Arabidopsis thaliana: one gene and its partners. The protein of the gene in region 4 interacts with the protein of the main gene of each other region in a pairwise test. Each region holds a gene or a part of one and is shown on either strand. Other genes may lie near its edges.

Region 1 (9,987 bases), on a different chromosome or scaffold from region 4:
TCTTCTTATAATACATCTCTGCACGCTTCGCAAACGAATCTCCATCTTCTTGTAATAGCTTCAACACATATTGAACCTTCTCTTCAATATCTACAAATTCATATCCAAAACAAAAAATAGATCAAACCTCAAAGATCTCAACTTTTTAGAAACAAACACCTATATAAAGAGACATGGATTCAAAAGGAGAGACCTTGAAGGTTTTGTTCGAGCCATTTAGATTGTTTGGTTCGAATATGACTCGCCCACCACCATGAATACGCATTACTCGCAGCTCGTTGCAGCATCGTCGTAAAGTTTTCGTTTTTTCAACTCTTTTTGATCGTATTCATTCAAATTCCCAGAAAGATTGTAACTTTGATATGTGTGTGAACCAACAATCTCTCTCTGTAGAGTCTAGATCTTAATAAGAAAAGAAAAAGAAAGAGAAAAGTTTCGGTTTTTAGAGAGACCCACAAGGAAACTTAAAGGTCTTTTTTGGTTGTAAATCAAAATCAGAATTGAGGAAAGAACGTGCAACAATTGAATCTCTTTTTTTTTTCTTTCTTTCTTAGAGAAGAGCGATCATGGGTGGGAGCAAACTTCGCTCTTCTTTCTCTCTCTCTACCTTAATAGTATTTTGGTAAAAATATTTTAAAGACTATTAAAAAAAAAATTGTTACAAAATTTTCAATATTTGATTTATATGTACGAATGGTGTTTACACGAATGTTATAGTGCCAGCGTCGTGGTAGGAGAAGTCGGAAGGATTCTCTTCCGATGATTCTTATGAATCATCAAACGTTACAGAACATGTCAGAAATGTATGATTTTATTAAATTAAACTAGATTTTAACCCGCGGTATACCGCGGAGACAATTCATTTTTTAAAATTAATATATATAAAATTTTGTAAATTATTTTATAGTTTACTATTGTTACTAAGTAACGTCCTGCCAAACCCGTCCTTCCAAACCCGTCCACAAAAAAAAACTATTTATTTTATTAATATTGATCTTATTTATAATATGTTTATGAATCATTGTCAAAATATTTTAGTCGTTGCGGGACGTTGAACCCACACATTTTTCGCCAATTGGTTAATATATATGTTCATTCTTAAAATTTCGAATCACAAAATATGACGAAATTTTTTTTGAGATTTTTTTAATTTTATATATTATATAATAATGTTAATTAGTTTTGATAGATTAAACTTTTTATAAATTCAAATATTAATAATGTTTTATGAAGTTTAAATATATAAATAATAATATTTAAAAAATTAATATTTTTTGCCTTTTAGGTAATGATATAATAACTCTAAAAGCAAAAATTTAGAAGATTTAAATCTTTAAATAAATATTTTCATGTCTAAATAATTAATGTGAAGTTTATGCTAATTTTAAGGGATTGATGTGAAGTTTGTTTGGATTAAATTTGATTGATAATGTGATTGACAATTTAAATTAAAAATTTAATGTAAAATTAATTATTTTGGAAAAAAAATTTAATGTTAATGGCATTGAGTTGTAAATAAATCTAACTCTAAGATTTATTTGCTAAAATAGCTGCAAAAATGTATATATAGATTAATCTGACAAAGAATTTTAGTGGATAAAGGAATGTGAAAATGTCGTTTTGTTTAATAAAAAAGTTGTAAAGATGTTGAAGCAAGCAAAGAATTTAATCATTAAGTAATTGAATCTTAAAGAACTTTTTTCCCCTTTGTGACGGTTTAAACATAAAACCGGACACGTTTTGATGAACCGGTCAAAGGTCGGTGTGTAACGATCCGACCAGAACCTTCTTTCTTGTGCAAAGTATCTCTAAAACGTCAAACCTCATTATATAGAGGCCCATTTACTGAATTTTGAGAAAATCTGAAACTTTTTTAGATTTTGGACGTTGTGTAACGAATGATGAATTAGAAGCAAAGTTTCAAACCATATTCATATTTCTTGTTGCTAACATAATGAATCGTATGAATATGGTTTGAAACTTTGCTTCTAATTTATTATCATAGAACTCAGTCTCATCCAACCGCACAGCTCCAACTAAACTACAAATGTGTTTCTCAAACAAGACACATTGCAAGTGTCACACACACAAGTAAGATCATCAATTCACCAGAATCATCACCAATGAAGACACTTGAAATCTCTGGTCTGAGAAAACTTGTAAAACTTTGCAACAAATTCAACAAAACAACAAGATGAATTCGAATCACACTTTTGTTACACTAAAATTTCTAATGAGACTGAGTCCTATGATGATTATTAGTTATTTGAGGCATCACTAAAATATATTTTTGATCCCTAACCAAGAGTATATCGATAATCAAAATTCTACAATATTTTATATTCTAACTTTCCATAACGAGAAAGTTTATCGGTGACAAGCGTTACTAACCAGAAATGCAGTGAAGAGAGATCATACATAGTGAAAATCATAAAAATGAAAGCCTCTTCCATAGGCAGAAACTTACACAAACATTTGAGAATTCACTACTTAGACATTGTCTCTTGTTACTACCGAGTTAAAAAGATTTACATTACTCTCCTCACTCCATCAACTTCTTTGAATTGTTCCATCTCTAACCACCATACGGTAAGCTGCACAACACCATACATTAAATCAATAACTTATTTTTTAGAGTGATTTTGTAGATGATTAGATTTGTGCCAGAATTTTCAAAAAACAAACCATAAATAAGTGGTGTTTTTTATGACAGGTAATTTTAACAAATAGCATGATATCATGTAAAATATACAAAATAACATGTTATTTGTTAGAATTACAAATATACAACAAATAAACCAAATTTATTTACGATTCTGTGTCATCCATATCTTGCAATGCCAATAAATATGGACAACATACATGTATATGGTCGTTTAAAGTATATATTTTTATATTCTTTGTCTCAATTTAAAAACAAAAAAAAAATCATGTAAAGCTATCAACTCAAAAGAATGTAAAAAGAAAGGGTGATTAATTGGTTACCCGAGCCTAAGGGAAGTGTCGGAGCTCTCGGAGTCAACAGGCGCTCCGGTAGAGTTTCCGGCGTTAGTAATAGACTCCGACGACTGTCCTTCCTCGTACACAGCAGCGTTCTCCGATTCAGCACCACCGTGTGCATGCACATTGTTACATATCTACACGTAACCAAAAAAAAATATTCCAAATTTAACATTAAACTGATAACAAACATACAAAATTCAAAATAATCAAGACTATATATATATCCACGTACTTGCATGCCAAGTCGCTCGTTCTCTTCCGTTAGTTGCGTTCCCTGCAAAAATCAAGACAAAACATATCATTAAGTTCTCTAGCTAAGTATTTGCATTTTGTGTTTTTAGTGGCACCATGTGTTTTGAATTTCTCTAGAGATCAACTAACTACGAATGAGCAAATCTTGACATGAAGCCTCGACCAAACTATATATCAAACAAGAATTAGATATATATTCGTTTATGGTTCCCTGTTTCAAAAAACAAAATGAAGATGAAAAAGAAAAAACGCACCAAATCCATGCATGCACACTCGTAGACCTCTAGGACCCTAGAGACTAACTAGCTACATGGTTACCTTTAGTTTTAAAGACATTTTTAAATCGCGCTATATCACTTGGTTTATTCATTTATCTCACAGTATGATCAAACATATGTGTTGTAGACAACTGGGGATTAAATTTAGGGGTGTGTACGTTAATGGTAGACAAAAGAAAGGGATTTGTTATCAACAGAGAGGGTAAGACACATACTTGCTGCCTCAACCGCTTGTTCTCATCCATCAATTGCATTCCCTGAACACCAAAAAAAAAGAGAAGAAGATGAAAATTTTGGATCTTGAAACTGCCAAAATTAATATTGAAATCATCAAGTAAAGAATAAACGTTATTTTGGTTAATTATTACCTTTTTCTGAAGTTCGCTGATCTCACTCATAATCTTGTCACTCTGCAAACACATCTCGTATTAGTAAATTGCATACTCGTAAGCTTAGAGAAACTTATACATGGTATCAAGTAATTTTCTTAACAACCTTTGTTTCAATCACACGCGTCAAACCAGTTTCAAGGGCCTTCTCTAGCTGCTGAAGCTCTTCAATGTCAAGTCCTTGAAGTTCCTCTCCTCTCATTTGCCTATATATGATCATGTAAACACACAGTTAGAAAATGATAGTGGTTGATCAAAAAAAAAATTAGTTAGAAAATGATAGTTAGTTCAAAAGTCATAGAATATACATATATAACGTACCTTAGTCGGTGGCTCTTGTCCGCAATTTCTTTACTCATTCGGGCGTGATCACTGTTCTCAACCAGCTAACAGAATAAAACATTGATTTAAGCTCTTAATCATATCCATAATGATCTAAAGCTCAACTCTCTACACAGGACTACTCTACATGACTACTACATGGATCGAGTCTAATTAATCATATGCAATAATATAAAGTTTTGTACCTATTAATACAAAGTTTTAAGAGATTCTTGGTCAATAAATACAACAATCTAAAACATATTGGTAATTCAACGGAGTAATACTCGATTTTGCAAGTTACAGAAATCGGGAAAGAAAATGTGTGGTCGTTTCGAGAATGTAGCTAACCTGTAACTCAAGAGATGGCTGATCAAGCTTCTCCAAGTTCTTTGACTGCAAGTTATGCCTCTCTAGGACTTCCTTCATGCTTCATAATATAAACACATTCCAATAAATAACTTATTATAAACAACTATACTGTTGATATTAACAATGTGCATATGTAAACACCGACAATATACCAAAATCTAAAATCAAAAGATGCAAACCAAATCCACAAAACACATTTAATCCCAAACATGTACATTATTTCATGTTAACACTATCGTTTTCAGTTACATATATACACAATTATCTGTGAAAGTGTGTATGTCCCCGAAGATAGGAACTGAGCTGATAACTAGTGGGTCAAAAATCCAAAATCGTATCTCTGTAATACGATAAGTCATTTTAGATCCCTAATATCAATAATATCTCTCTAAATGACTTTTCCCAACACTAATAAAGATTCCAACATATCTATACATATACATATATATATATATATTATTTTTAGATTACTTCTTCAAAGGGAAAGCTTTATACATCCACACATATAGATACTTCCTCATGTTATGGTACCCACATATTTCTATATAAATATGACATTGACGGCTTAAACATATCATACCACAATATCTATATACATAGATTTATACATGGTTGACACAAATACCTACTATAGAGCATGTATTTATATACTAATAATATACATATATGCATATCCAGATTTACATCTTTTTGAATATTACCGTAGTTAGATACCTTAATTTATCTAAATACAGAGTTTTACTATACACTTTATATATGTCATTTATGGTCATGATTAATGTTTCTAACAACTATTTTAATTATATAAATAGTTAGTGGTCCTATAAAGATTGATACAGTAAACTCCTATGTATCAGATATACATCTAAAAACTCTTTAAAGTTTTTTGTCTGGATCTAGACAAGATTCCTTCGATGAGTTATGAGAAATCTATAGAGAGGGAAGTTAGAGAGAGAAAGAAAGACCTGGAGCTACAGAACTCGAACAGTTTTCCGGTGGAAGAGAAGATGATGAGAGCGACATCGGCGTCGCAGAGAACGGAGAGTTCTTCAGCTTTCTTGAAAAGCCCTCTTCTTCGTTTCGAAAACGTCACTTGTCTCGCCGTTGCGTTGTCGATCTTCCTGATCTGAATCTTTTCTCTCGCCATCACAACGAACAAAAAAACCCTAGAAGCAAGAGAGAGAGCTTAGGTTTTGATTTTAATGGATCTTTCGAGAACGGGATTGATTTTGATGGATCAAGATTCAAGAATGAGAGATGATTAAAGAGAGAGTAAAGAGAAGAGATGGAGGAGGAGGAAGAAGAAGCCAGAGGAAATAAATTTTGTGAGAGAGAGAATTTTTGCTAAAAAGGGAGACTTTAAAGAAGAGAGAGAGAGTGACAAGACGACTGAAATGGAAAGTAAATCGTGTTCTTTTTGCTAAATTTAGAAGAATAAATATGATTTCAAGACAGTAAAAACCCTAGTTTTTGAAAGATTTGAAAGAAAGAACACACTCAGTCTTTTGTGAGAAGAATTAGATCTAGTCGATGAATCAACAAGGAAATTAGAGAGGATCAAAAGAAAAAAAACTCAAGAAGAAGAAGAAAACTAAAGGAGAAAAAAAGCTAAGGGAATATATTTAATTTTCCACCTCAAAGGTCGAGGAGAGAAGAAGACATGAGAAGGTTTTGATTGGTGAAGGATGAGATATTTTCAGGGAGAGGTTTATTAATTTTATAATACTATCAAGATGATGGGGTTTCTTAAATGATTATTTTTGGAAAGAAAACGATATATATTATATTTTTAGTTTTAGTTTTTTTTTTGGATATTGGTCTGTGTGTGGTGGTTATTGGATATGGTGAGGTAATAGGATTTATAAGTCTCCAATGAGATGAGAGAGAGAAGAGAAGTGTGTGTTTGGGTCAGTGGGGAATTTCTTTTTATAGGGAAGCATAAAATGAGTTGTCTCACTTTGTTCACTTATACTCCTTGTAACTAATTGGTTGGTATTTACTGCAAAAACTAACTAGAAGACCTGAAGAACATCAAGGGCTACAACGTATTTTCATTTTTGTAAATCTACGTACTATATGGTAATGGTACCTCATAACAAAATTCAGAAAGAACAAAATAATATCAACTGTATATTATTTTTATTTATGTAAAAACATTTGGGAAGATGACATTTCAGAATTTTTCTGAGGACAATGTTTTGTTTTTACTGAAAGAAATAAGTTTGTGAGTTCGGCCTTGGTTTGTAAGAATCCAACTCGGAAATGACAAAATAATTTGTTAATTTCAAAGACATTAGTGCAATAATTTTTGAAAATTTAGTAGTCAATCATGTGGCATATAACTTGTCGAAAAATTGTGTCCTTAAAAAAAGAGGTTTGTAACCTAATGAACCATATCTACTCAGATACATGTAGTCCATTATACAATTACAATCTATGCACTAATTTGGAAAGTTTGTCATGCACAAATAAATTTTGTTCAATCCCAGTAACAATTACACACACAATGGGGGTATCAATCATCACTGAAGTATTTTTTTATAAAACCAATTGAATATGTAACTCAAAATAAAATTTAAATGAAATCACTTTCTTACGAGGTTATTTATCATTTAACATTTTAATACATAAGCTCAACATTACAAATCACATATACTTCACCAACGTCAACAACAGAACCAAACATATGATTTCAATCGCCACAATCATCATTCCATAGACTAAAAAGCAATTTACAAAACCGTGATTAAAGGTAAGAAAATAAAATTAAAGGGTTTTTAAAAATAAAATAATGTTTAAGCATACCTTCATACGAAGAAACAGTGAATAGAGGGACCCTCGAGGCACGAGCCAGAGTAAAATAAAAAGTGTCGACCACTAAAATTTTTCAAAGGGACCCAAAACCAGACCCGAAGCAGCCACAAGAAATCTGATTGGGACACGATCCATTGTCCGTACAGAATTTTATTTCTAAATTAAAGTTTTACCCAAATAAAGATACTCCACGCAACTACTACAAACCCATTCTTCTTCTCTTTATTACTCCAAGTTTGCAATAATCTACCCTTCAAGAATACATGTGGCTCGTATCACTCACCCCCTATTTGAGTATTATTTACTCTTCCGACGAAACTCTTGTGTTGTATTATTGCGAATTTATTATGATACTATATGAATTATGAAGTTGCAAACGGTAAAAAAGTCATATGGTTGATGTGATTAATACGGTGTTAAATATAATTATGGTTTGCGTTAATTTACTGTAAACTCTTTTCTTTTCTTCTTTAACTCTTTTCTATCTAATTGGGTAATCAAGCAAATATAGTTGAATTATAATTTGAAATTTTTGTTGACAACAAAATATTAATATGGTTTGCGTTTGTGTTCTACGAGTAATGGAATTATGGAAGTTTTTAAAACAAAAATGTAGTATTTTTTGAAAATTTTGATGACGTATATTAGAAAACACTAGAAAACAAAACCTTCTAGTGGTTAAAGTTGCTAGGAGAATAACTATAAGAGAGGTGGCCTGATCGATATTACTTATTTCGGCATAATACATATTCCTTTCTAACGTATTTTAAACAAAGAAAATCGTTGAGTTTTTTTCAGCTTGGTTTGGTTTCGAAAAAAAAAAAGTTTGTTCACTCACAAAATTATTATCAAGTAATGTTTATTCATATTTGTCATGGTTTGGTAAAAGTAGATTAAATTTGGTAGAACATCCATCAATTGGCGTTTGGAACCGCATGAATCATTTATATTTGAAATTGAATAGTGTTTAGAGGCGCACGTGACACAACTGGTGAGGTCTTTGAGTTTTGATTGGTCAAAGTGTCAGAGTTTTTATGAGTAGACGACTCGTGACCTTTCCCTTAACAGTTCCAAGCCTCTCTAATGAAACATTGCACCTAACCTTTTAGCCATTTTAGGCTTCTTTCTTTCTACACAGTCCCTACACTACACACTCTCTCTGACACATCAAGGAAACTACAGTCACCGTTATCATAAAGCGGAGTCCCTAATGGGCTTTTTATTATTATTGGGCTTTTATTAGGCCCAAATTTTCCTTACGAGTAAAATAAGTATTATTTTGGTTCAGTTTCTCGCCGGATCCTGAAAATGACGACGGCGGCGATGACTTGTACGAGACTGACGATATTTACGGTGGCCGGAATATTACTTCAGATTATTGGCCTCTCCATTTTCGTATTCGGTTTCTTCCCCGTCAAGCCGACTCTCTCCGGCGTCAGGTACTACTAAATCAATAACATTTGAAGTCGAAGAAGAAGAATCTACGCTCTATTGATTTGTTTATTTGAAATGGCAGTGGCTCGGAGAGCTATCGAGATCCATTCTGTGATTCTTCTCTGATTTCGAACGAATCGGAGCTTCATCATCCAGAGAAACTGAGATTGCTGTACCAGGTATTTGTCTCTTTTGTGAATCCAAAAACAAATGTGTAAAGTTCCCTTTTGAGTTTGATAGTGGTGAATTTGTAGGAGTTATCTGGAATCTCTTCCAAATATGATCGACTGATTTTAATGGTATGTTGCACTTTGTTAAAATTTTGATTTTGATCTTTGTGAGAGAGTGTTTTTGAGGATGTTAAAGCGATGCTAGTTTAGGTTATTGATGGGCTACCTGCGGAGTTCGTTCTTGGGAAAGATGGTAAACCTCCAGAGAAGGTTTTGAAAGAGTCTATGCCTTATACTCAGTCACTGTTAGCTAATGGAGATGCTATTGGTTACCATGCTAAAGCAGCTCCTCCAACTGTTACCATGCCGAGGTTAAAGGTGTGTGTATAGTTGTGATTAAGTGGATGATCACAGTCTAAATGAATTTATTTGCTTGCTTAGTTGATAGAATTCATTGTTTTTTTCAGGCAATGGTTTCTGGGGCAATTGGTGGTTTCTTGGATGTTGCTTTTAATTTTAACACACAAGCTCTCTTAGATGATAATATTCTTGGTAACTATTAGTTTTCAACAATGAGAAATTTTTCATGCTTGCAAACATTGAAAGAAAAGCTATGTGACATTGGTCCAAATTTACCAGGTCAGTTTTTCAGGATTGGTTGGAAAATGGTGATGCTCGGTGATGAGACGTGGCTCAAGTTATTTCCAGGGCTATTTATGAGACATGACGGTGTTAGCAGTTTCTTTGTGAGTTAATGTGATGTTTGGTTTTGTTGATTGCTTTTCTTATCGACATCATGGTCATCTGAACAAAAAATGTTTTTTTGGACAGGTCAAAGATACAGTACAGGTAGACAGAAATGTTTCTCGACACTTGCCCGATGAGCTAAACAGTGATGATTGGAATCTCTTGGTTAGTTTTTACTTTTTCTTTTATTCCCCAGTATTGGCGTCT
Region 2 (6,696 bases), on a different chromosome or scaffold from region 4:
TTGGTTCGCCATCTTCATGTTGCAGCATCACAGGTTTTGTCTTCTTCTTGGCTAATAGGAAACCAGCTGCTACTGCTGCAAGTATAACCATCATAGTCGAAAACAAGACTAACACTTTCTTCTGGCCACTCAACAAAATGTCCTCCGAACCTGCATCATTAACAACTTCACCAAACCCACTCTCTTCTTCTTCTACTTCATTACCGTCATGTTCAACATCTGTAGCTTCTTCTGAAACACTGAGGCTACCTCCAGCAATTTCCCCAACACCTTCTTCTTCTTGTACAGTTTCAACATTGGCTACTCCGGTTTGTTCTTGCTGGTTACTACTGATTGCAGCAGACTGCACATCGTCAAGCAGTTGTGCGTCGGATTCAGCTTCTTCCATGTTATTCTGGTCATTTTCTTCATATTCTTCCTGCCCTTCAACAACATCAGTTTCTTGGCCACCATGTCCTTCTTCAGAAAGAGATTCTGAATACCTTTCACCTCCGTTCACCTCTGTATCTGTAGCTATCTTGATCTCAGCCTGCTCATCACATTCATCAACAATTTCTAAGTTTACCTTTCCTTCTTCATTCTCCTGCTCGACTTCATTATCATCTTCTTCGTAGACAGCTTCAAGACTGATTTCACCACTGTTTTCCGATTCTTCTTCAGGTTCCTGATGACCAACATTCACTTCTTCTATATCCACTTCTAAGCTATCCACTATGAACCCATCAACAATGATTTCAACACTAGTTGACTGGAAAACAGCATCAGACAACCTTTTGTCTTCCAAAAGAACTGTCAAGTTATGAAATTGAAAAGGAACACTTCCCTCCTCTTCTCGTAGACTTGAGACCAGCTTATCAAGATACACAAATGATGATTCTGCCCACATCCTCAGCTTTGCACCCAACTGCTCAAAGTTCTCGCTAGCAGACATTATGATCTCTGGAGAGATGTTAAACTGATAGAAAGGTGAATCTGTGATGGTTTGTTGAGAAAACGTCGTTGAAGAAACCAACAACAGATACGCCACACCAAGAGCCAAAATCCAACCAAGCAACATGGATGTCTTGCTGAAACGAGACTGTTTTGAAATCTGATGAGTTTCTTCTTCTTCAATGCTTTCGCCAACTACTACTTCTTCTTCTTCATCATCACTCTCTACAGCTTCCAAACGCTCTTCACCATCAACATCCAGAATTTCCTCTGCGGCTTCCAAACGCTCTTCACCATCATCTTCTTGTTCTTCTACTGCAACTACACCTTCCTGAGAAGCAACTTCCTCCTCTTGTTGACCTTCCTCCTCTCGTTCTGCAGACAAATCAGTGTCAGAAGAAGAGCTTTCAGAGATGAAAAGCTCCTCAAGCTGCTTGCACTCATCAGAACGATGCTCAATTTTTGGATTTGGCTTATAATGGAGAAACTGAGGCCTCGGTGACAAGTAATTCTTCTTTGGATCATAAGGTGCCACCACTGGATCCACTTCATGAGACTCAAACACAGGAAATGTGCATGGAACATAAGGAGGAAGAGGACTGATCTTGAAGCTTGAATTATCATTACTCTTCCTCTCAAGAATCTCATCGAAATCACTGACAGTAATATCATGTGATTCCTCTTCACGAAGCTGCTTAGTTTCATCGATGCAAATCTGGTCTACATCTTTATCTTCCCCAATGATGCTTATCACATCAGAAAACGAGACAGACGACTTTACCTGAACCTGGTGATGGGATTTGTCAAAGGATCGAGACACTTCGTTTTTATCAGACAAGATCTTCTTCCTCGGCGATGGATTGATCTTGGAAACGGCTGAAATTGTCGGTGACATGAAATGCTTGGAACCTTTTGTTGGACCTTTGACGACATTAGCGATTTGATCCTTGTCGTTCTGATTCTCTTTATCACCAATCTCAACACGATTACTGCATTCTCTACCGATTGAGTTTCTCCGGGACGGATCTGCCGAAAATGGATTGCCTCGGAAACTGCGACGCATCAGATCTCCGGTTTCCGAGTTTCTTTGCTTAGGGTTTGGTCTGGAAGGCATTGAAGGCGAAGAGGAAGAGAATAGAGAAGAAGGAGAAACAGAGATCTTGTTCTTTGCTGGAGAAGACGCCATGAATGAAAATCACTCCGGAAATCAGAATGGGTTATTTAACAAATCTCAGATTTTTTGCGCTCGTTAAAGGAAAGAAAATATGCAAGAATCTGCAAGATTGTGAATGTAAAAAGTTCCTAAGTTTTTGAATTTTTAAAAGAGAGAGAGATAGAGAGATCGTAACGGCTAGTTGCCAATTTGCGATTTATTTATACATAGTGGATAGAAAAATCCCTAATAATTTTAAGTATTGCAAATTGATTCTGATTTTGACCATTTTTCACTGATACCCTAGTTTTCCAAATTTCTGTTATCTCCCCATAAATTTAAGATCTATCTAAATGCCCCATGCTTATTAAAGACTTCACAACGTAAGATTTGATTCCTCTTTCTTCCTGTAAAGTTGTTAAATTTATAAACGTGGATATTTATGGACAATGTAGAAACAGTGGGAAGAAATTAATGATTCTCAAAACCTTGGGGTTCAAATTAAAACAAAATTTCAATTTCTGTAGCCGGAAAATAGAGCAGACGATGTAACTGGGCCGCCACGATGATGACACGTCTGATCGCAGAGAATAAACTAGCCGTTATGGGCTCTCGTAAAGGGTAAGAGACGTTAATCAACCTATTAAAAAGACAGGTAAATCAGAAAAGCAGGCTTTGGGCCCGTCCACTGATGGAAAAAGTGAAAGCACCAATTATGTTGAAGGTTTTTACTTAACGGGCTTTTGACTGACATTAAAGAAAATTTGGTCATCGGCTAACTAAATAGGCCCAGTTTACATTATTTTCTGAGTTCCAATGAAATAAAATCCTTTTCTAAAAGTCATCCTCAAATACCACATCTGTGTGAACCTCATCGACACAAATCAGAATATCTTTCATAATTTTATGGATTTATAACTTATTTTGCGATTATCTGCGAAAGTGATTAATTAAGATGAGTGTTCATGTTGCAGAACTAATCGTTTTCGGAATAACTACCATCAAAATAGTTCTAGACAATTGTTACAATTACGTTTCTAGATTAATTTAGTCCATGAGAATTGAATTCTGAGGGGATTACTTTTCCTTCTTTCAGGCCAAATTTTTGCTATTGAATATCAACCTGTTGATATGAGTTAAATCTGCATTATGACTTATGAACGCAAACGAAGAAAAAAATACCAAATCAATTTAACAACAGAAATAACAATCAGAACTTTGGTATGAAATACTTAGAACCAAATCAACCAATGATGAATTTTTCTCAATCGATTTAAGGCAAATTGAGACAAAACTAAAAGATCCGACAAAATCCGATTCTGAGAAAACAAAATCAACGATTTCATACTAAAAGAAAAGGATTTAAGGGAGAGCGAGATTCAGATGGTAGTGCATGATGGTAAGATCATCAATGATGGTCAGAGTTGGATTGTTCTATGGAATCATCTTTCATCATCATTATCACCGCTCTCTCCTCTTTATTAAGAGTAAAACATCGACTTTAAATCTAAGAAAACACAACACAATAGACAAAATAACTTCTAAATTTTTCCCTAGAAAATAGTAATGAAGCTTCGAGAAAACACTGAATTTCTAGAGCAGACGCTGTTTCGAAGAATTCTGAGTCGTACATCAAAAGATTTGAGGTCTTTAAATAGTGGAGAGAACTCTAGGGTTTTAAGTTGGATCTTCTAGGTCGATAGGATTTGTCTCAGCTCGTTATTGGGCTATTGGGCTGTATAATTTGGCCCAATAGTAATAAGAGTTTGGTTTTGTACTTTTTGTATGGTGTGGCCTTGTAGAATAGAAAAGCAGTGATTGGTCAAAAGGTGGCAAGTTGTTTGACTATGACATCAATTCCTCATTTCATCTTTTTGATTTACAGAGAAAATTGAAATAGTCCACTCGGGACCATTGAAGCTCTCTCTCTGTTTCTGCATTACAAAAAGTGTTTGTTTTCAAGGTTTCTCTCTTTCACTTCTCTTTGTTTTCTTCATTTCAATTTCTGGATTTTGCTTGTAGCTACATTTGGTCTCACTCTATTCCATGGCTGACACTGGTGAGGTTCAATTTATGAAGCCTTTCATCTCAGAAAAGTCATCTAAATCATTGGTGAGCATGGCTCTCTATCTTTCTTCTTTTTTATTTTCTTATTTCAACAAGTTCAAAATATGTGTTTAGTGTTCTGATTTGGAGACTTATGGTTTAGGGTAAATTGCTTTAGTTCATTTTCATGGAGCTAATAACTTAGGTCCTTTAATTGCTTTTGTTAGCTTTAAATTAGCAAAAAGCAAATGAAAGCTTACTGAATCTTGCTAGATTTAGAATGAAGTTTATGTGTTGGTGTTGTTATAGGCTGCTTGAACCAAACATTTCTGCGGGGCTGAAAAGTGAAAAATAGCAAGTCCATTGTTTCTACGTTGCTGCTCTTGGAATGTCTCCTGAGAGTTGTTTTTTTATATATAAATGTTTGATTAGGAAATCCCCTTGGGATTCAACGAATACTTCCCAGCACCATTTCCAATAACTGTGGACCTCCTGGACTATAGTGGGAGATCTTGGACGGTTAGGATGAAGAAAAGAGGAGAGAAAGTGTTTCTTACAGTTGGTTGGGAGAATTTTGTAAAAGATAACAATCTCGAAGATGGCAAGTATTTGCAGTTCATCTATGACCGCGACAGGACCTTTTATGTTATCATATATGGTCATAACATGTGTAGCGAATATAGAGACTTCCCTCAAGTCGCAGTAGAGGTTGATGACTATGAAAACGGTGAAGAAGAAGAAGACGGCGACGATCAAGACAAACATCAGTAACTAAAATTTGGGTCTACTTTAAGTTGCTTTAAGTTTAAGTAGTCAGTTTTCATGTTGGATTTATGTAACCAGTTGTTTAGTTTAAATATTACGAATACTAGTATTTGCTTTCTGCTACATTCTTTGGAACATGGTTTAAAAGATTTACTGTGTATTGCTATCATTTTTGTGATAATTGTATTTGGTGAAGTAGAGTGTTAATACAAGAGAATGAGAGGAAGTGTAGGAGGGGGCATGAGTCAAAACCTTCCGGTGCAGTTAGAGTCTCTTGAAGACTCGGCCACGTGACAATATGGGTGTATTGACAACAGAATAAATAAATGTGGGCTAAATTGAATAAATTAAAATTTACGAGGTATTTTTAGAAAACATTTTGACGGTTAAAAGCAAGTGTTTGCTGTTTGGTTGGCTTTTGGCGGCGGAAACTAGAATCGTTGCTGCTACTCAGGTCATCGGGATAATGAAGAGCAATAAGTTTTCTTGCAAAACGAGAGCCGAAACCCTAGAATGGATCACAGCCATTATCGATTTCCTTAAACCGTTTTCTTTCCTAATCAATGCTCACGTTGTCAATTTCTTCAAGGTATGATCGATTATCGGAAACAATTTTAAATTCAGCTTCGAGTTGGGTTATGAGTTGATTGATGGGTTTGTATTCCAGGATAAGCAATGGGAAGCTGTTAATGAGGAATGGATGAGTTGCTTAAAGGATGAGAAGCCGGAAAATATTCTTCTTATTCCCTCCGGTGGTGTCCAGGTAAAGTTCTGGTCTCAGTCTTCATGATTGAGATATTTGATAGAAAGGGTAGATTTTTATTTTAGTTTGGAAAGGAGATGATTGATTATAGTATTTGATTATAGGATCACTGGCCTGCTTCACTAAAGAAATTTGTTCACACGTTGAGGTCTCTATCGTTTCCTCGAGAGCAAGCGGATTTACAGGCGGTATTGTATTCTCTTTACCTGTTTGTGCTGTTTCAGGATTAGTATTTTTAGATCCTAGACTAAATAAAGTTTAATCATTTTCGACTGTTGGCAGATACTCGCAGACGTGGATATGGTACCTCTTAGCACCGTTCTTTCACAGGGCATGAATCTTAAGAAAAAACATGAGGTACATTTTTATCTTCACACTTCACTATCCAGAGGTGCAAGTCGTGTCTTTCAATGATGTCTTGTTTTGGTAGGAATTTCAGTAGATTGCATCTGGTGACTAATCCCAATCCAAGAACCTTAAATTCAAAAGAGAGTATATATTTTTTTTGTAGCTGTTCAAGTCTTTTTACCATCAAATTCTGGCAAAGTTATCTGCCACTTCACGCGTAAAACATGAAATTGAGGATCATTAACAGCTCATAGCATTTTATATAAAAGTTTCTTAGTACAAAACTTATGTTTGTTTAAACGTAAGGTATTTGTCAAATGTATCTTATACTGGCCACTTCATTTGAATGGATCTGTAGGTCACTTATTATGGTATCATGCAGGTTGAAGTTCTTTCCTCTGTTGTTAGCTCAGTTGTTAAGAGTGTTGGAGCTCCTACTGTTGTTGATGTCGGTGCTGGCCAGGTATCTTCAATCCCTTTCTCTTGTTTAACTATCAATCTTAATTGCATGGTTCCTTTTTCTCGTCTGCATTGGTGAATTCTCTTTTTGGCTGTTTAAGGAATATTTCGAGTGATGGTTTTTCTTTCATATCAGAGTTTTAGTAACTTTGTAGTATATTATAGCTTTCCTAAAGTGTGTTAAATAACATCATTGGTAAATGTTTTGTCCAGGGTTATCTAGCGCAGGTTC
Region 3 (6,852 bases), about 20 Mb from region 4:
CAGAAACTCTCAGAGCAGCTCCCTCCGTTTCTGGAACTTTCTCCTCTATGACTGAACCATTCGCATTAAACCAAGATCTTAGACACTTACTTCCTCGCAAAGCAAAATATGGAGGCTGCTTATAATTGAACTGTTACTCACCATCATTAGCAGGAGGAATGGCTGCATTGGCCTCGGGTATATCAACAAACCTGAACATGTCGGTGCAAACAATGTAGCCTTTTTCTTGGGGAACAAGAAAGAAAACTTGTGTGAAGTGCCTTGCAGGTCTCTCGTTGAAAGTGAGGTAGCCATAAACAACGACGAGGATACCCTGCTTAAGAGAGTCTTGGGACGTGACGCTGGTTATCTTAACCGAATCAAAACTACCAGGAGATCGCCATTTAAGATCTTTCTGTTCCAAGATTAGGAATCATTCAAGAGAACAAAGATTTCACCAAAGTTACTAAGTCAATCAGGAAAAGTATCTTTACCGATAAAGTGAAGACACGCATCGTTCCATCTAGTCCAGGCCGTGAAATCGTACTCTTATCTTTATAAAGCTTATAGAGATTCTCCGGGGCGTTTTGCAAGGTGTTATAGTACTGCCTTGCAAACTCATCCCCCACCTACGTTTATACAGAGAGTTACAATCACAGGACAATGAAATCCGAAGAACAGAGCATACAGTTGTTGGATCCTATATACCACCTTTGCAGTATTTGGACGAGGATCCATCGATACAGAGAATATGCAATGCCCTGTATCTCAAATCAAGTTCCAAACGCAAAATCGTTAGATCTTGCGAACATAATCATAAAAGAAATGGTGAGAAGCAGCGGCTAACACAAAAGAAATGACTTATTTGTTAAGAAATGACGAAAGAAGTATAGAGATTGTCTTCACGTTTCACTAAATCAAAAGCAAAAGATGCATCGCTGATCTAATCCTCGAACCAACGATAAACCGGAATCGCTGAAAGAAGACTCACCTGAAATTACAGCGAAGTAGTGAAGAAGATTGAATATGAGTATTGAGTAGCTCCGAGTTCTTCCACACCCACTCCAATGGCGGTTCCTACGGTTATTCACCAGAAGGAAGAACAGAGGAAGAGACGAAGAGCGCGAGAGAAAGAAGGTGCTGAGAATTTCTTTTTATTTGGATTTTTCGTCCTATTTATGCAATTTCATAAAATGTTTATATTTACATTTGTTGCCACTAATCGTTGAGCGTTTTCGTTTGTTTGTTAGTAAAATCTGTTACTTTTTAACTGCTTTATTACTAGAGAATATTTGTTGACGAATTCAAACCATATGAAATTGCATAAATAAACAAATATATATACAACTACACGAATTCTTCACTTTTACTGATACGTTAATAAGAGAGACAATGCAACAAATTAAGTGTAAAATTAGTTGAAAAATGTCAAGGAAAAACAAAACTCTAAGAAAATCATGGATGGAGAGTCCCTTCGAACTCAAAACGTCCATCGGTGAAACTTATATACACAAAAACGAGACAAAAAGAGTAACAAAATATGTAAATTTGTAGTTCACAAAGTTGAGGGAACAACGGTTATATGCCTCAACGGATGCGACACATTAGTCCCACCGGCGTGAACGATGAACTCAGCCGGCGAGAAAGACGTTCCATGGCAGACGCAGATTATACTGATCTCTGATTTTGAGTAACGGTATAGAAAACCATTTACGGTTTTGCCCTCGGGACCGTTACCGGTGCTAGTCACGCAAGGCATCTGAGCAAACGGAAGCAAACTGCCGTTACCGTTACTGTTGGTATGCGGTTTTGGCGGCTTCCCACTCTCTTTGGTTACAGAAGAGTTGGACCATTCTTGGGTCTCCGCGTCTTTTGAACCGTCTGTGTTATGCACGGTTTGCTCTGTACCGGTCAGAATGTTGTTAACCGGAGATCTAACCTGTTTGGTTTGGCCAGATTGTGCCCCAATGTCGCCACTTCCACCTGAACATTAACCATAATTCAAAATCATCTACATGCAAATAGCATAATTTTCGTGATTCTTTAACAGAATCAACACATCGAATTATATACTAAAAAAAAACTATATACATATACCAACCAATTTTAGTTTATTTTTAAAAGAAGGTTGTTATATACCTTCTTGGCGAGAAGAGCTGCTAGGATCGGATACGGAGGAGGAGGTGCAAATGGGTGACCCAATCGTAACGTCTTTACTGCTTTCCTTGAGTCGACCCGACCCGTAACCGTTACACATGTTGATAGAGCTCAAATCCATATCATCGCCGTTACTAACTCCGTTATATTCTGTTCTGATCCTCTTGCACTCTCCTTCTTCTCCGCTTCTCTGCTGCTGCTTCGCCTCCCGCTTCTTCCGTGTTTCCTTTATCCTCGTCACATTCGTCGTTCTGCCGTCAAGATTAACGCCGTTATCCTTCTCGAATCCGACGGCGTTAGATTGTCCAAATGTTTTAGATTTCTCCGTTTTCTTGAAAGGACCTCCCAGGGAAAGACATAGCTCGAGCTCGAGCTCGACCTCCACATTCTCATCTTCTACAAACTTTTCTGCCATTGATAAAGATTCAACAAACATATAATGTCAAAAAGATGGTCTCTTGTCTTCCGCAAAATTTTCCTCTTGAAGGGTTTTGAAGCTTCGCCAACTTTGTTGTATGAGAAAGGAATATTATAAGGGGCGGAGATAATTAAAAAGAGAATGGTAAAGGCTTCGGAACATGACACATGTCCGATAAGGATAGTGGACATGGGCGGTTTCAAAATTCACTAAGAGAAAGGTTAAGAAACTTTATTAGCGCTACAATTTCGGATTATCGATAAACGCTTTCCATTTATTTTGTTGGTTTCTATTTCCATTGGTTGTAAAAATCAAGTAAAATTTTGACGAAAAGTACCGAGACGCCACGTGTAACACGTGCATGGAAACAGTTAACACGTGTACACTGAGATCCTGCTGGCTTTGACGAGGACACGTTGGGTGTTTTGAATTCTTGTGTTCGTATCTGACTCCGCGAATCTCGAGCATAAACACGACCCCGGGATTGACATGTGGCGACCATCTTCGAGAGACAGTGCAATAGGTTAGACAGTCCAGGTCAGCAAATGACGCCGTAACGGTTATTCTCATCTGATGTGTGTCGACGTGGTTCATGTTTGGCTGGCTTCATGGGCACGTGCTAGATGACAAATGGCTGTAAAGAATTATGTTGAGTAGATAGATGACTCGTGTCTTTATTCGAATAGTGGAATAGCTTGTTGAAGTTGCTTTATTATAGCTTGGCTATCACAAGTTCCAGCCTTACTCTTGCATGAATTGCACCTGGAAAGTGGAAAGAGGATTGAGACTATTTGAATTGTTGACAAGAAAAACAAAGGAAGATTCTGCGAATACACTGTGGAATATAGCAAATGTTCTTTTCTCGTTGTGATTTTTTCGGTTGATTAAATGTTTAACAAAATGTAAAGCAAAGATTCTAGAAAAAGAAAACCATTCTTGACTTTGCTATTTCTTTGACAAAAATGTGACGATATTCTTATGAACTTTTCATCATATTTTATCATCATAATTTCAAGCCTTACGGTTATCACATGATCCATATTCATGTCAATGTCATGCTTATCCCCGAATATTACATACTACTGGGTTTATGTACATAAGATCCGGTTCACGTTAATGGGCTGATGCTTTTTAGATAAGGCCCAACTAAAGCTGTTTCTTTTGTTAGCCGTGGAAACAAACTGCCCGTTTTGATTTGATCGCCGTAAGGCCCGTAACATTGACAGTGGAGAGGCTGAAAACATGATGGGTATAATAGTCATTTACTTGAGAAGCCTTTATATTTTTCATTGTACGGTTTAACCACAACATATCTAAACCGGTTTCCAAACACATTCTATTACTATGTAACCCCAAATTTGATCTCCGACTTCAAAATCGGAGAAATTTCACGGCATGGCTACAGCCGTTGGAAGCGGGAGCGATGTAGAGGTTGGATTTGCGAAGCTCCAAGGTGAGGATTTCGAGTACTATATGCAGTCTTACTCCATTATTCTCGGCCGGAATTCTAAGAAATCGACCGTCGACGTCGACCTCTCATCTCTCGGCGGTGGGATGAACATTTCTCGCAACCACGCTCGGATCTTCTATGACTTCACTAGACGACGCTTCTCTCTCGAGGTACTTGGCAAAAATGGCTGCTTCGTTGAAGGTGTCCTCCATCTCCCTGGGAACCCCAACGTCAAGCTCGATTCACAGGACCTTTTGCAGATTGGTGACAAGGAGTTCTACTTCCTGCTTCCGGTTTGGAGTATCCTAGGCGGTCCATTGGGACCCAGGCACCACGTCTTAGGGAAGGCTACTGTTGTTCCGTACCATAATTATCATTCGGGTCCAGGTTCCGGGTCGGGTAAGAATGGCGTCCGGAGTAGAGAGTTGTATGAGTACGATGATGAAGACGACGATGAAGAGGAGGATATCAGAGGCAGTGGAAAGAAAACATGGAGAGATGGACATGAAGGAGTATATGCCTCTGGAGGTAAAACCAAATTGCTCATGATAGCTTAACTTCATTGTGTCACTAAATAGATTTCAGGCTTGTTCTAGACTTTGAGTATAAGTTTTACTGTGGTGGTTGATGATTGAACCTTGTTAGACTTAGATTGAATGATAGTGACACCACGACATTGTATCTGCTTCATTTGTGCAGAGAAGAAGAGAGAGGGAAGATCAAAGGCAGATCGTGAAGCTGATGATCAACAATTTTTGCAGCTAATGCATGGTAGTGGTTGGTCTGTGACAGATATTAAAGGAGTATGGAAACGTATGGCATCACAGTCGAGTAAGAAGATACCTATCACAAGAAGACTGGGCTATCCCTGAAGCAAAAGGTAAACCATGGTACGGTTTGCTGATGCTGCTGAGAAAATACCCGGAGCATTTCGTCATCAACACGAGATCAAAGGGAAGAGTTACCCTTGAATTCGTTTCCCTCGTTACCCTACTCTCATAATCATCGAGATGATTGTTAGTGCAGGAGCAGGATGATTGGTAGTATATCTTTTATGTTTCCACGTAATGAGTGTATAAGTGGGTGTTAGGTGTTTTGACCTTGGTGACTCGTCGGATTAAGTTTTTCTCGCTTTTCTTTGTTACGTTGTATATGTAGAATGACAATGACATTGATGAGTAAAACACTCTCGGATTTAACCTTTTCTCTCTCTTCAAGAAATCGCATAAGCTATTTTCAGCCATATACATACTATAGCCTATATGGCTATTCAACATTAATACACTCTCGGGTAAATTTAACCTTTTAGTTGTTTTCTTATGGCGAAAGCGGATTTGGTTTGCATATTATTTAGTTGAAAAGAAAAATCAAACGAGAAAATATATCACAACCCAAAAGTATACTATACAAAATTCAGATAAAGTTGTCTCAAAAGTACTATGCATAGTACAGATAAAGTTGTCGGAAGGAAATATTAGTATGATTTTCCCCGTCTCATTACTGTACATCACTTAGTCAACGCATACACTGTTAAAAGTCAACACATACAATCATTCAAAAACGTTTGGAGTTTAACACATAACACATCACAAGAGTGATCATCACAAATTAGAAGTTTATTTTACAAACTTGAGCCTATTAAGTTTTTACTTTTTGGCCTAATGAAAATTGAAACCACTTTATTCAAACCCAAAAATCAACTTTCTTCTCTTGTTTTATCGGTGGTCAAGATCTAGGCTGTTCGCAATAACATTTATTATTTTTTTTTCCAATAATTTCGTCTTTAGTACCAACTTTCGTTTTATATATTGCTGCCGTACAACTTGCACTTGCTTACATGTTTATTTGTCTACAAATTATTACTTAAAAGTTAAAACAATATACAGAGAAATCTCCCTAAGTTATTGAGTGATAGTTTTAAGTTTTTTTTGTGAGATAAATTAATTACTATTTAGTATTTTACGTAGGTTTTGGTAAGATTCTTCGATTTTTTTTTTACTTACAAAAACAATAGAAAAAGACTGATGCATGACAAAATTCTTAGAAAAAAAAACTGATGCATATGATAACGTGAGTGAAGTTGGTGCTTAGAGTTGCTAATATTAATATATATATATATATATATATATATATATATATTGAGTGAAGTTTTTTTTTTTTTTTTTTCAATCATTGAGTGAAGTTTTTTTCTTCTTTTCTTTTCTTTTTTAATCTTCTGCTGCAGTCACAAACTCACAGTGATTGTAAAGCTGAAGTTTGTTTCCAGGCTCATTAGTCATTACCCTTGCTACAAAATTAGATTAGCATCAAAATTAATTAGTAAGTATTTAACCTAGGTTTTGATAAGATTCTTGTATTTGGTTTTCTTATCACCTCGAAATTTCCAATTTTGTTTGATTAAAAAGGATATAAGAAACAATAGGAAAACGTGCTTGTGGCATGCAACGTTGTTTTTTTTTTAGATACAGATACAAGGCTATTTTCTAAATTCAAAATCTTAATCCGACCAAATTTAAATCTATAAAAGTGATTGGTTACAGACACTATTTTACTTTTTTGTCTTTTTCAAGAAGTTATTTGGATTTTCAAAATTACAGCATTAATTAAAATAGTAAACATATGTTAAAAGCCTAGGCGGATAAGTGAAAATATGATTTAAAACATTTCTAATGCATATTTTATTTTATTTTAAAGGAGATTTTAAAATATAGAGAATAATTCAATGTGCCTTTATTTTATTTTAGAGAAAATTCTATTTTAGATATATATAATGGACTAAAATTTTTTATATAAAAAAAAATTTCTTAAATAAAAAATAATATAAAAATGAACATTGGAGATGGTCCGT
Region 4 (8,343 bases):
TTCTTTTCGATAAACCGAGATCCACGAAACCCGCATTTCCTCTCGCTAATCTATTCTAAATTTCGATACTTTTTTTTTTTTTTTATCGGTTTGAATCTCGAGAATTCCGAAGATTCAGAGTCTCCATAGTCGAAGGTGTGTAGCGAATCGAGATGGGTTTCTGTTTGATTTCACTGTCGCTTTCTCTGCTTTCATTTCTGAGTGGTTCATTGATCTCTTCCGTGTTCGTAATCTATGATTGATGATGTATGTTGTTATCAGATGTTTGATTGATGTCTGCCTATAGTCTAATTTCATTATTAAGAACGTTTTTTTTTTGTATACCTAACATCTAAATTTTGTTGTATTAATTGTCATCAGTGGAATCTTGACGTTGAAAGGATGACACAAGCTTTCTCCTTTTTGTTTTTCTTTTGTCTGAAAAATGTATTGCAATGTTAGACAAAGTCTTAATACTATCTCTCTTCTTCGTCTTCTGCATTTTCGATTTACCATTATGCATGTATGCTAAAGCAAATCTGATTGACAAGGTTTTCTCTTGATTTATGTATTGTTGTTTTGTGTTGTTGAAATGAATGATATTTGGGATTCAGATTCGTAAAGCTTTAAATCTTTATGTGTTCTTTTCTTGGTAATGGATTTATTTATTTTTTGTATCGTTGTTTCAGAGGCTCTTGAGAATGGAAGCAGAAACGTCTTGGACCAATTATCCGTACAGCTACATTACATATGTCCCTGAAGCTGAATCATACCGTGAGCAGAGCGACGATGAAGCCAAAGTCGAAACCTTTTCAATGGATTCTCTTCTCCCTGACGATTTATTAGAACGAATCCTCTCGTTTCTACCCATTGCAAGCATCTTCAGAGCTGGTACTGTCTGCAAAAGATGGAACGAGATTGTATCTTCTCGGAGGTTCTTATGTAATTTCTCCAACAATTCGGTTTCCCAAAGGCCTTGGTACTTCATGTTCACTACCACGGATGATCCATCTGGTTATGCTTATGACCCCATTATCCGCAAATGGTACAGTTTCGATCTCCCTTGTATCGAAACATCCAATTGGTTTGTTGCTTCCTCTTGTGGATTGGTTTGCTTCATGGACAATGATTGCAGAAACAAGATTTATGTCTCAAATCCAATTACCAAACAATGGAGGACGCTTATTGAACCTCCTGGTCACAAATCGACAGATTACACGGCAATGTCTACCTCCGTAAACCGAGCGAACCAAGCAGTAAACCGCGCAAACCGGAGTTACTCAGTCTCGATAGTGAAATCGAAGCAAGTTCCAGGGAATTTCTTCCAATGGGATCTCTCTATTCATCTCTACAGCTCTGAAACAATGACTTGGACAACATTAGTAAACGATGTCTTATCCGGATGGAGAGGAGGGAACGAGAGTGTGATCTGCAACAATGTTCTTTACTTCATGATATACTCAACGGGAGGCTCAGATCATCGCCACGGCTTGATCGCTTCGAATCTATCCTCGATAGGATCACCGTCAAGCGGAATCTTGATGAGGAGTTTCATTCCAATGCCGTGTTCTTTAACCTGCGGGAGATTGATGAATCTAAGAGAGAGGCTTGTGATTGTCGGAGGAATCGGGAAACATGATCGACCAGAGGTTATAAAAGGGATAGGGATTTGGGTTTTGAAAGGGAAGGAATGGGTAGAGATGGCGAAAATGCCTCAAAGATTCTTCCAAGGTTTTGGTGAATTCGACGAGGTTTTCGCGAGTAGTGGCACGGATGATTTGGTTTACATTCAAAGCTATGGATCTCCCGCGCTTCTCACGTTCGACATGAATCTCAAGTATTGGAGATGGTCTCAGAAATGTCCTGTTACTAAAAAGTTCCCTCTTCAGCTCTTTACTGGGTTTTGCTTCGAACCAAGACTCGAGATTGCTCCTTAGTTGCAATGAAGAAGCAAATGGGTCTGTGAAAGTCTTGGTCTTTTGGATTGTTTTTGCACAGAGAAATCGCCGGCGGCTTTATGAAGATGATGATACGGTAATGTTTTTAAATTTTAGTTACTGGAAATGTTTTTCAGGAATATTGTTATTTGCAATTTGGTACTCTGTTAATTATAAATTTATAAAATGAGGCCCAGATACTTTTATTTGAACAAACGAACCCTTCTCTATCTCTCAGTGAAATATAAGAACATTTTTCAACATGTGGCCCACAATATCTCATGTAAATGGGTCGGATTCTGAAACTGGAGGTTGTCTTGTTGCTGTTCCTGGTGGATAAAAATAATGATTTTGTTCCTTTTTTTTCCACATATATTCATAATGATTTTTCATGTTTTATTAATTAATTATTGTTGTAAATTATTTTAAAGAATTATGTTTCTGTACTTGTATAAAATTGGGACCTATTTTCGTGATGGGATTTGTCAGGTTTGGCAGTGTTAGGTTTACGGGTAATGGACAACAGCTATTTTATTGTGTATTTTATCATTTTCTCAAGGGTCACTTATTTTCAATTTTCATAGCTATAATAATTTACTAAATTTTAAAATATAACAAAATGTCATTCATTAGTTATAATCGTATAAAAGTTGACGAAGTGATATATAGATTCTACATACTAAAAACAAAATTAATTTGTGTCATTATGCCAAAATGTCAAAAGGAAAAGAAAATTTAGACAATTACTCTGACACATCAAATCAGCTAAAACCTAACTAAATATACCAAACTAGCAACACATATTTTTGTTATTAAAAGCATTTATAATGATAAATCATGATCAGAATCATAGTAAGCAGATTCGAACACTAGTCTCTCAAATTTCGGTAGTAAAGTTTTCAACCATTAGAAGACAAATACGATTTTAACATCATTAGTATTGTTTTTTCTTTTTTAATTTAAGCGTTGGCTTTCCAAAATGAAATAGTAACAAGCATTAACGAGTTAAGTTGTCAATGGGGGAAGTTAAAACTCTTTAAAACCAAAAAATTGACCACACAACACATATAGTGCCCACTAGTTCTCTCAAACGAATATGGAATACTTTAAAACCCACCTCTATTCTCAAGAATTAAAGCCCAGAATTTCAACGTTCTAAAAATAGTTTTGAAAGATTTGTTTTTCACGGGTTTTTCGTAAAATAATTATGAACAAAACAAATAAATTCAAACTAATTTTTACACGTACAAATCTGACTCCTAGCCTCCTAGATGAAATTCAAAATTTTGTACCAGCAGCTCAAAGCTACTAGGTAAAAAATGTCACGAGAGAAAACCGGAGGAATATTGGTGGTTCATCAATACGAATCAAACCGAACCAAGTCATAAACCGGTTCATAGAAAGATAAGAAGACAGACAATCAGTCATCACTTTGGTCTCGTTGAGCCTTTCGTCTATCTCTCACCTGAAAGAAAGACGTTCAGCTTTCTCTTTCCAAAATCAAAAGCTCTCCGATCAGTTTCTCCGGCTTAGGAAATTAATTGAAGGAAGGTGATGAGAGGTACTACTGAGAATACGGATCTGTTCGATCCCAAAACCCAAATGGATCCTGACTTCACTCGTCATGGTTCTTCCTCCGACGGCGATTTTGGATTCGCTTTTAACGACAGTAACTTCTCTGATCGTTTGCTTCGGATCGAGATCATGGGTGGACCTTCGGATTCTCGGTCTGAAGTTGAAGGGTGTACGAGTATCGCTGATTGGGCTCGTCATCGCAAGAGAAGAAGAGAAGATATCAAGAAGGAATCTGGTGGTATGTAATTTGTTCGTATGGTTTAGGGTTTTTGTTATTGAAGTCGAAGTCCAAGTCTTTTTGGGTTTTAATGTTGTGATTTCATTTTGCAGTCACGATTTCAGACATTGTGGCATGTCCTGAGGAGCAGATTTTAACTGATGAACAACCTGACATGGATGGATGTCCTGGTGGTGAGAATCCTGATGATGAAGGAGGAGAGGCAATGGTTGAAGAAGCTTTATCAGGTACTACTATAGAGCAACATCCTTTGGCGAAGTTTTAGCTGTACACAAAGGAGCTTGTTTTGTTCTGAGAAGTGTTTTATTTATTTAATGTTTAGGTGATGAAGAGGAAACGTCTAGTGAGCCAAACTGGGGAATGGATTGTTCTACAGTTGTTAGGGTTAAAGAACTTCATATTAGTTCTCCTATTTTAGCTGCCAAAAGCCCTTTCTTTTACAAGGTATCTAAATAGGTTGTTGATGGATTTTGCTTTTGCTCTCATGTGTACCTTACTCTTTAATCCATTTGTGTTCTTTTTTTCTCGGAAATGTTGATAGTTGTTCTCCAATGGAATGAGGGAATCTGAGCAAAGGCATGTCACCCTTAGGATTAATGCATCAGGTACGCCATTGCAACATTAGCTATCTGAACGTGTTATTGATTTATCACACTAGATACAGTTGTACCGTTCTCTATTAGGTCCACAGAATCAAAATATGGTTTTGATTTGAGTTTGTTAAGGTAACTTGGAGATTCTTAGATTGATTTACATATTATACTCTACTTTGTGTGTATTACAGAGGAAGCTGCTTTGATGGAGCTTTTAAACTTTATGTATAGCAATGCGGTATCTGTCACCACAGCACCTGCCTTATTAGATGTGTTGATGGCTGCTGATAAGTTTGAAGTTGCCTCTTGTATGAGGTACTGCAGTAGACTTCTCCGTAATATGCCTATGACTCCAGAGTCTGCCCTGCTCTATCTCGAGCTTCCCTCTAGTGTTCTAATGGCCAAAGCTGTTCAGCCTTTAACTGATGCTGCAAAACAGTTCCTTGCAGCCCGCTACAAGGATATTACCAAGTAAAGCCCCTGAAACTACATATCCATGATATTACTGTAATCAAGAGCACATGAGATGGTGGGGCGATTCTTATAAGGCATGTCTAAACTTTCTTTTCCAGGTTTCATGAGGAGGTAATGTCTCTACCTTTGGCTGGAATTGAGGCAATTCTATCAAGCGATGAACTCCAAATTGCATCAGAGGATGCAGTTTATGATTTTATCTTGAAGTGGGCAAGGGCGCAATACCCTTGTTTGGAAGAGCGAAGAGAGATTCTCGGGTCACGCCTTGCACTCTCCATCCGCTTCCCATTCATGACATGCCGAAAGCTGAAGAAAGTGCTGACTTGCAGTGACTTTGAGCATGAAATAGCATCAAAGCTTGTTCTAGAAGCTCTTTTCTTCAAAGCAGAAGCCCCACACAGACAACGTAGCCTAGCCTCCGAAGAATCTGCATCCCTGAACCGCCGCCTGATAGAGAGGGCTTACAAATACAGACCCGTCAAAGTGGTCGAGTTTGAGCTTCCTAGACCGCAGTGTGTAGTCTACCTAGACTTGAAAAGAGAAGAATGTGGGGGACTGTTCCCGTCGGGTAGAGTGTATTCGCAGGCCTTTCACTTGGGAGGTCAAGGGTTTTTCCTGTCAGCTCACTGCAACATGGACCAACAGAGCTCGTTCCACTGTTTCGGGCTGTTCCTAGGGATGCAGGAGAAAGGGTCGGTGAGTTTCGGAGTGGACTATGAATTCTCGGCAAGGTCAAAGCCCGCAGAGGATTTCATAAGCAAATACAAAGGGAACTACACATTCACAGGAGGGAAAGCAGTAGGTTACAGAAACCTGTTTGGGGTCCCATGGACGTCTTTTATAGCGGAAGATAGTCAATACTTCATCAATGGCATTCTCCATCTCAGAGCAGAGCTTACCATCAAAAGGTCTACAGATCCTTAGTGACCGTTTACTTCTCAATTGTCACTGTCTCTCTTTCCTTTACCTGCTGCTAAATCTCTCGCTCTCTCTAACTTGCCTTTTTTTTCTTTTCTTTTATAAGGCTTGAAGAAGACTAATAAAGCTTATAAAAGTAAGGTTAAAAACGTTTCGACGACAACGTTATAAGAAGAATGTAAATGCGTTCTTTTTTTCTATCTACCCTTACTCTTTTGGCTTTGGATTATAAGTTTAACTCTTCAATGAAATTCTTAGCGTAGAGATTCTTGTATTATGAACGAAGTTGTGAACAGAAAAGAACGAACGTAACTCTCTCGTCTCATTTAACTAATTTATCTAGTTGGATTGAAATAGACATGACTTTTCGATTTGGGCCATGCGTATGTTGTTGGAGTTGGACTATTTTAAATTCCTGCAATCAATTTCAAAAAAATTCAAATCATATTGACCGTTGATTATATACCGTACACGTGGTACAATGTCACAGATATCTTATTATAATACTATACAGTTCACAGTCCTTTGTTTTCTTTATTAGACAATCATGAGACAAAGTACTGTAATAAACAATTAATCATACATGGAATTGTGAAGTAACTTTTTTGTTACTCTTTTACCAGAAATGATCAAATTTTACAAATGATTATTTTTTGTTCTAAAATTTATTTTAATGTCTTAGATTAAGGAAAGTAAACTAGTTTTGTAATAAATAAAGAAAAATAATTAAGCTCTTAAATATGTATAAATGATTATGCATTTAAGTATTAAGAAAGTGCAATAGTTTTTTTTATTTTATTTTATAATCAGAGAATCCTCGTGCACCAAGAATCTAGTTCCACTAATTAAGGTGTTATTCTTCTCCTCTAACACCAAATTATGTTTGTATCTCTTATTTAAATTCATTAATGACAGGTTTGACATTAATAAATAATATTTTAAAATATAAAATACATTAGTAATTAAAATTAAAAAATAAATGAGAATAAAGAGTTTCATCTGTATCCCGACGGAAGTTGAGTTCTGTTTCCGCCCATTTCTATCTGAAAGCAATGCACGTAGCCTCTCTCGTCCATCTCCTTAAATTCAACAAGTATTTAATCTCTTCCTTTAAATATAAACTCTCAAGTTCATCAAACTGTTTCCATAAGAACTAGTTTTTCTTTTCTTCAGATCCAATTTTATAAAGCAAACCTGAGATTTTTATTAATATAATATATATATTGAAAAACTTCCAAAAATGAGAGTTATCTGGGTTTAATTTAATTTACTAAACATCAAGATAGCTGTTTTGCTCTTTCTATCGCCATGTGTTCTTCTTCTTCTCCTTCCTTGTCTCTTTTTTTTAATGTTTTTTTGTTTCCTTGAGTGAAGAGTGTAGAAGCTATAGATTTCCAGATCTAGTAACATCGTCTTCATGAGATTTTTGTGACAAAGAAAAGCTCTTTTGTCGTTTTTTCTTCTCTTTTGGCTGTGGAAAAAAATCAGAAAACTTGTCAGTGTGTAAGTTGTTGAGGTTTTCAAAATTGAAAATGGGTCAATATGCAACAGTGTGGGATCAAAAAGAAGCAAGTGAGATAATCAAAGATTGGAATGGCGTTGACCAAGTCCTTCTCAGAAACCCACATGGTGCTTCTGCCAAGGTCTTCACTTTTTCTCCAACCATTCTTGTCTGATAAAAATTCGAGCTTCTTTTGCTTATTCTGTGTTTGATTTTCCAGATAAGTTTACATGGAGGACAAGTGATTTCATGGAGGAATGAACTAGGCGAAGAGCTTCTTTTCACTAGCAATAAGGTATCTGATCTCACTACAAAACCCTGATACATTGTGAAGAATCTGAAACATAAAAAGTAAAAATCTGATTTTTATATTGTTATGAATTTGTTAGGCTATATTCAAACCCCCAAAATCAATGCGTGGAGGGATTCAGATTTGTTATCCGCAGGTAAAATTTACTAGTAGCGCTCACTGAACTGAGATCTTTTGTTGATCACTTTTTCATTGAAGTTTTGTGTGTGTGTTTGTGAAGTTTGGGGATTGTGGATCACTGGATCAACATGGGTTTGCAAGGAACAAAATTTGGGTAATCGATGAGAACCCACCTCCACTTAACTCAAACGAATCCTTAGGAAAATCCTTTGTTGATCTTCTTTTGAAACCATCAGAAGATGACTTAAAGCAATGGCCTCATAGGTAATCTCCTCATCACTTGTTTCTTCATTTTTTCCTCTTGACAGAGATTCTAAAATTCTATGCTTATTCCCTTGCAGTTTCGAGTTCCGTCTTAGGGTTTCGCTTGCTGTAGATGGCGACTTAACATTGACTTCTCGGATTAGAAACATCAATGGCAAGCCTTTTAGCTTCTCATTTGCATATCACACCTACCTCTCTGTCTCTGACATAAGGTATTACTCTTCAATAAGTCAAGCAAAAGATTATTCAGTGTTTGGTGAAATCTTTATAACCCAACAATGTTTACTTTTCTTCTCTACAGTGAAGTGAGAATTGAAGGGTTGGAGACATTGGACTACTTAGACAACCTCAGCCAAAGACAGCTTTTGACTGAACAAGGCGATGCAATAACCTTTGAATCCGAGGTAAACCTTAACAAGATTCTGCAGTTATCG

The links.
Region 1: the proteins of POB1 (region 4) and SVP interact in a two-hybrid assay, tested with the Arabidopsis thaliana proteins (one large-scale study listed by BioGRID).
Region 2: the proteins of POB1 (region 4) and AT1G16640 interact in a two-hybrid assay, tested with the Arabidopsis thaliana proteins (one large-scale study listed by BioGRID).
Region 3: the proteins of POB1 (region 4) and AT3G07260 interact in a two-hybrid assay, tested with the Arabidopsis thaliana proteins (one large-scale study listed by BioGRID).

The regions. Positions count from the first base shown.
Region 1 is NC_003071.7:9,576,192-9,586,178, reverse strand, and holds SVP (K-box region and MADS-box transcription factor family protein), read right to left. Parts: upstream 6,533-9,987; 5' UTR 5,763-6,532; coding exon 5,581-5,762; intron 4,674-5,580; coding exon 4,595-4,673; intron 4,309-4,594; coding exon 4,244-4,308; intron 4,129-4,243; coding exon 4,029-4,128; intron 3,944-4,028; coding exon 3,902-3,943; intron 3,791-3,901; coding exon 3,749-3,790; intron 3,278-3,748; coding exon 3,236-3,277; intron 3,138-3,235; coding exon 2,986-3,137; intron 2,595-2,985; coding exon 2,576-2,594; 3' UTR 2,278-2,575; downstream 1-2,277. Other genes in the region: NET2D (Kinase interacting (KIP1-like) family protein), read right to left, coding at 1-90, 194-287; AT2G22530 (Alkaline-phosphatase-like family protein), read left to right, coding at 8,738-8,868, 8,946-9,042, 9,118-9,162, 9,244-9,411, 9,501-9,585, 9,673-9,779, 9,865-9,945. UniProt on the Arabidopsis thaliana protein: Transcription repressor that inhibit floral transition in the autonomous flowering pathway, independent of photoperiod and temperature. Acts in a dosage-dependent manner.
Region 2 is NC_003070.9:5,682,634-5,689,329, forward strand, and holds AT1G16640 (AP2/B3-like transcriptional factor family protein), read left to right. Parts: upstream 1-3,891; 5' UTR 3,892-4,129; coding exon 4,130-4,195; intron 4,196-4,561; coding exon 4,562-4,900; 3' UTR 4,901-5,094; downstream 5,095-6,696. Other genes in the region: AT1G16630 (uncharacterized protein), read right to left, coding at 1-2,116; AT1G16650 (S-adenosyl-L-methionine-dependent methyltransferases superfamily protein), read left to right, coding at 5,361-5,483, 5,562-5,657, 5,762-5,845, 5,940-6,014, 6,364-6,468, 6,678-6,696.
Region 3 is NC_003074.8:2,305,755-2,312,606, forward strand, and holds AT3G07260 (SMAD/FHA domain-containing protein), read left to right. Parts: upstream 1-3,854; 5' UTR 3,855-3,949; coding exon 3,950-4,532; intron 4,533-4,703; coding exon 4,704-4,876; 3' UTR 4,877-5,229; downstream 5,230-6,852. Other genes in the region: AT3G07250 (RNA-binding (RRM-RBD-RNP motif) domain nuclear transport factor 2 family protein), read right to left, coding at 1-51, 142-394, 474-608, 691-717; AT3G07255 (nuclear transport factor 2/RNA recognition motif protein), read right to left, coding at 1,535-1,962, 2,119-2,572. UniProt on the Arabidopsis thaliana protein: May play a role in the control of plant organ development. Does not show transactivation activity in yeast.
Region 4 is NC_003074.8:22,792,234-22,800,576, forward strand, and holds POB1 (POZ/BTB containin G-protein 1), read left to right. Parts: upstream 1-3,188; 5' UTR 3,189-3,470; coding exon 3,471-3,729; intron 3,730-3,821; coding exon 3,822-3,956; intron 3,957-4,051; coding exon 4,052-4,173; intron 4,174-4,270; coding exon 4,271-4,334; intron 4,335-4,513; coding exon 4,514-4,793; intron 4,794-4,894; coding exon 4,895-5,720; 3' UTR 5,721-5,820; coding exon of another isoform or gene 5,821-5,836; 3' UTR 5,837-6,091; downstream 6,092-8,343. Other genes in the region: HWS (Galactose oxidase/kelch repeat superfamily protein), read left to right, coding at 435-530, 669-1,916; AT3G61610 (Galactose mutarotase-like superfamily protein), read left to right, coding at 7,247-7,357, 7,436-7,510, 7,605-7,661, 7,746-7,909, 7,987-8,121, 8,211-8,313.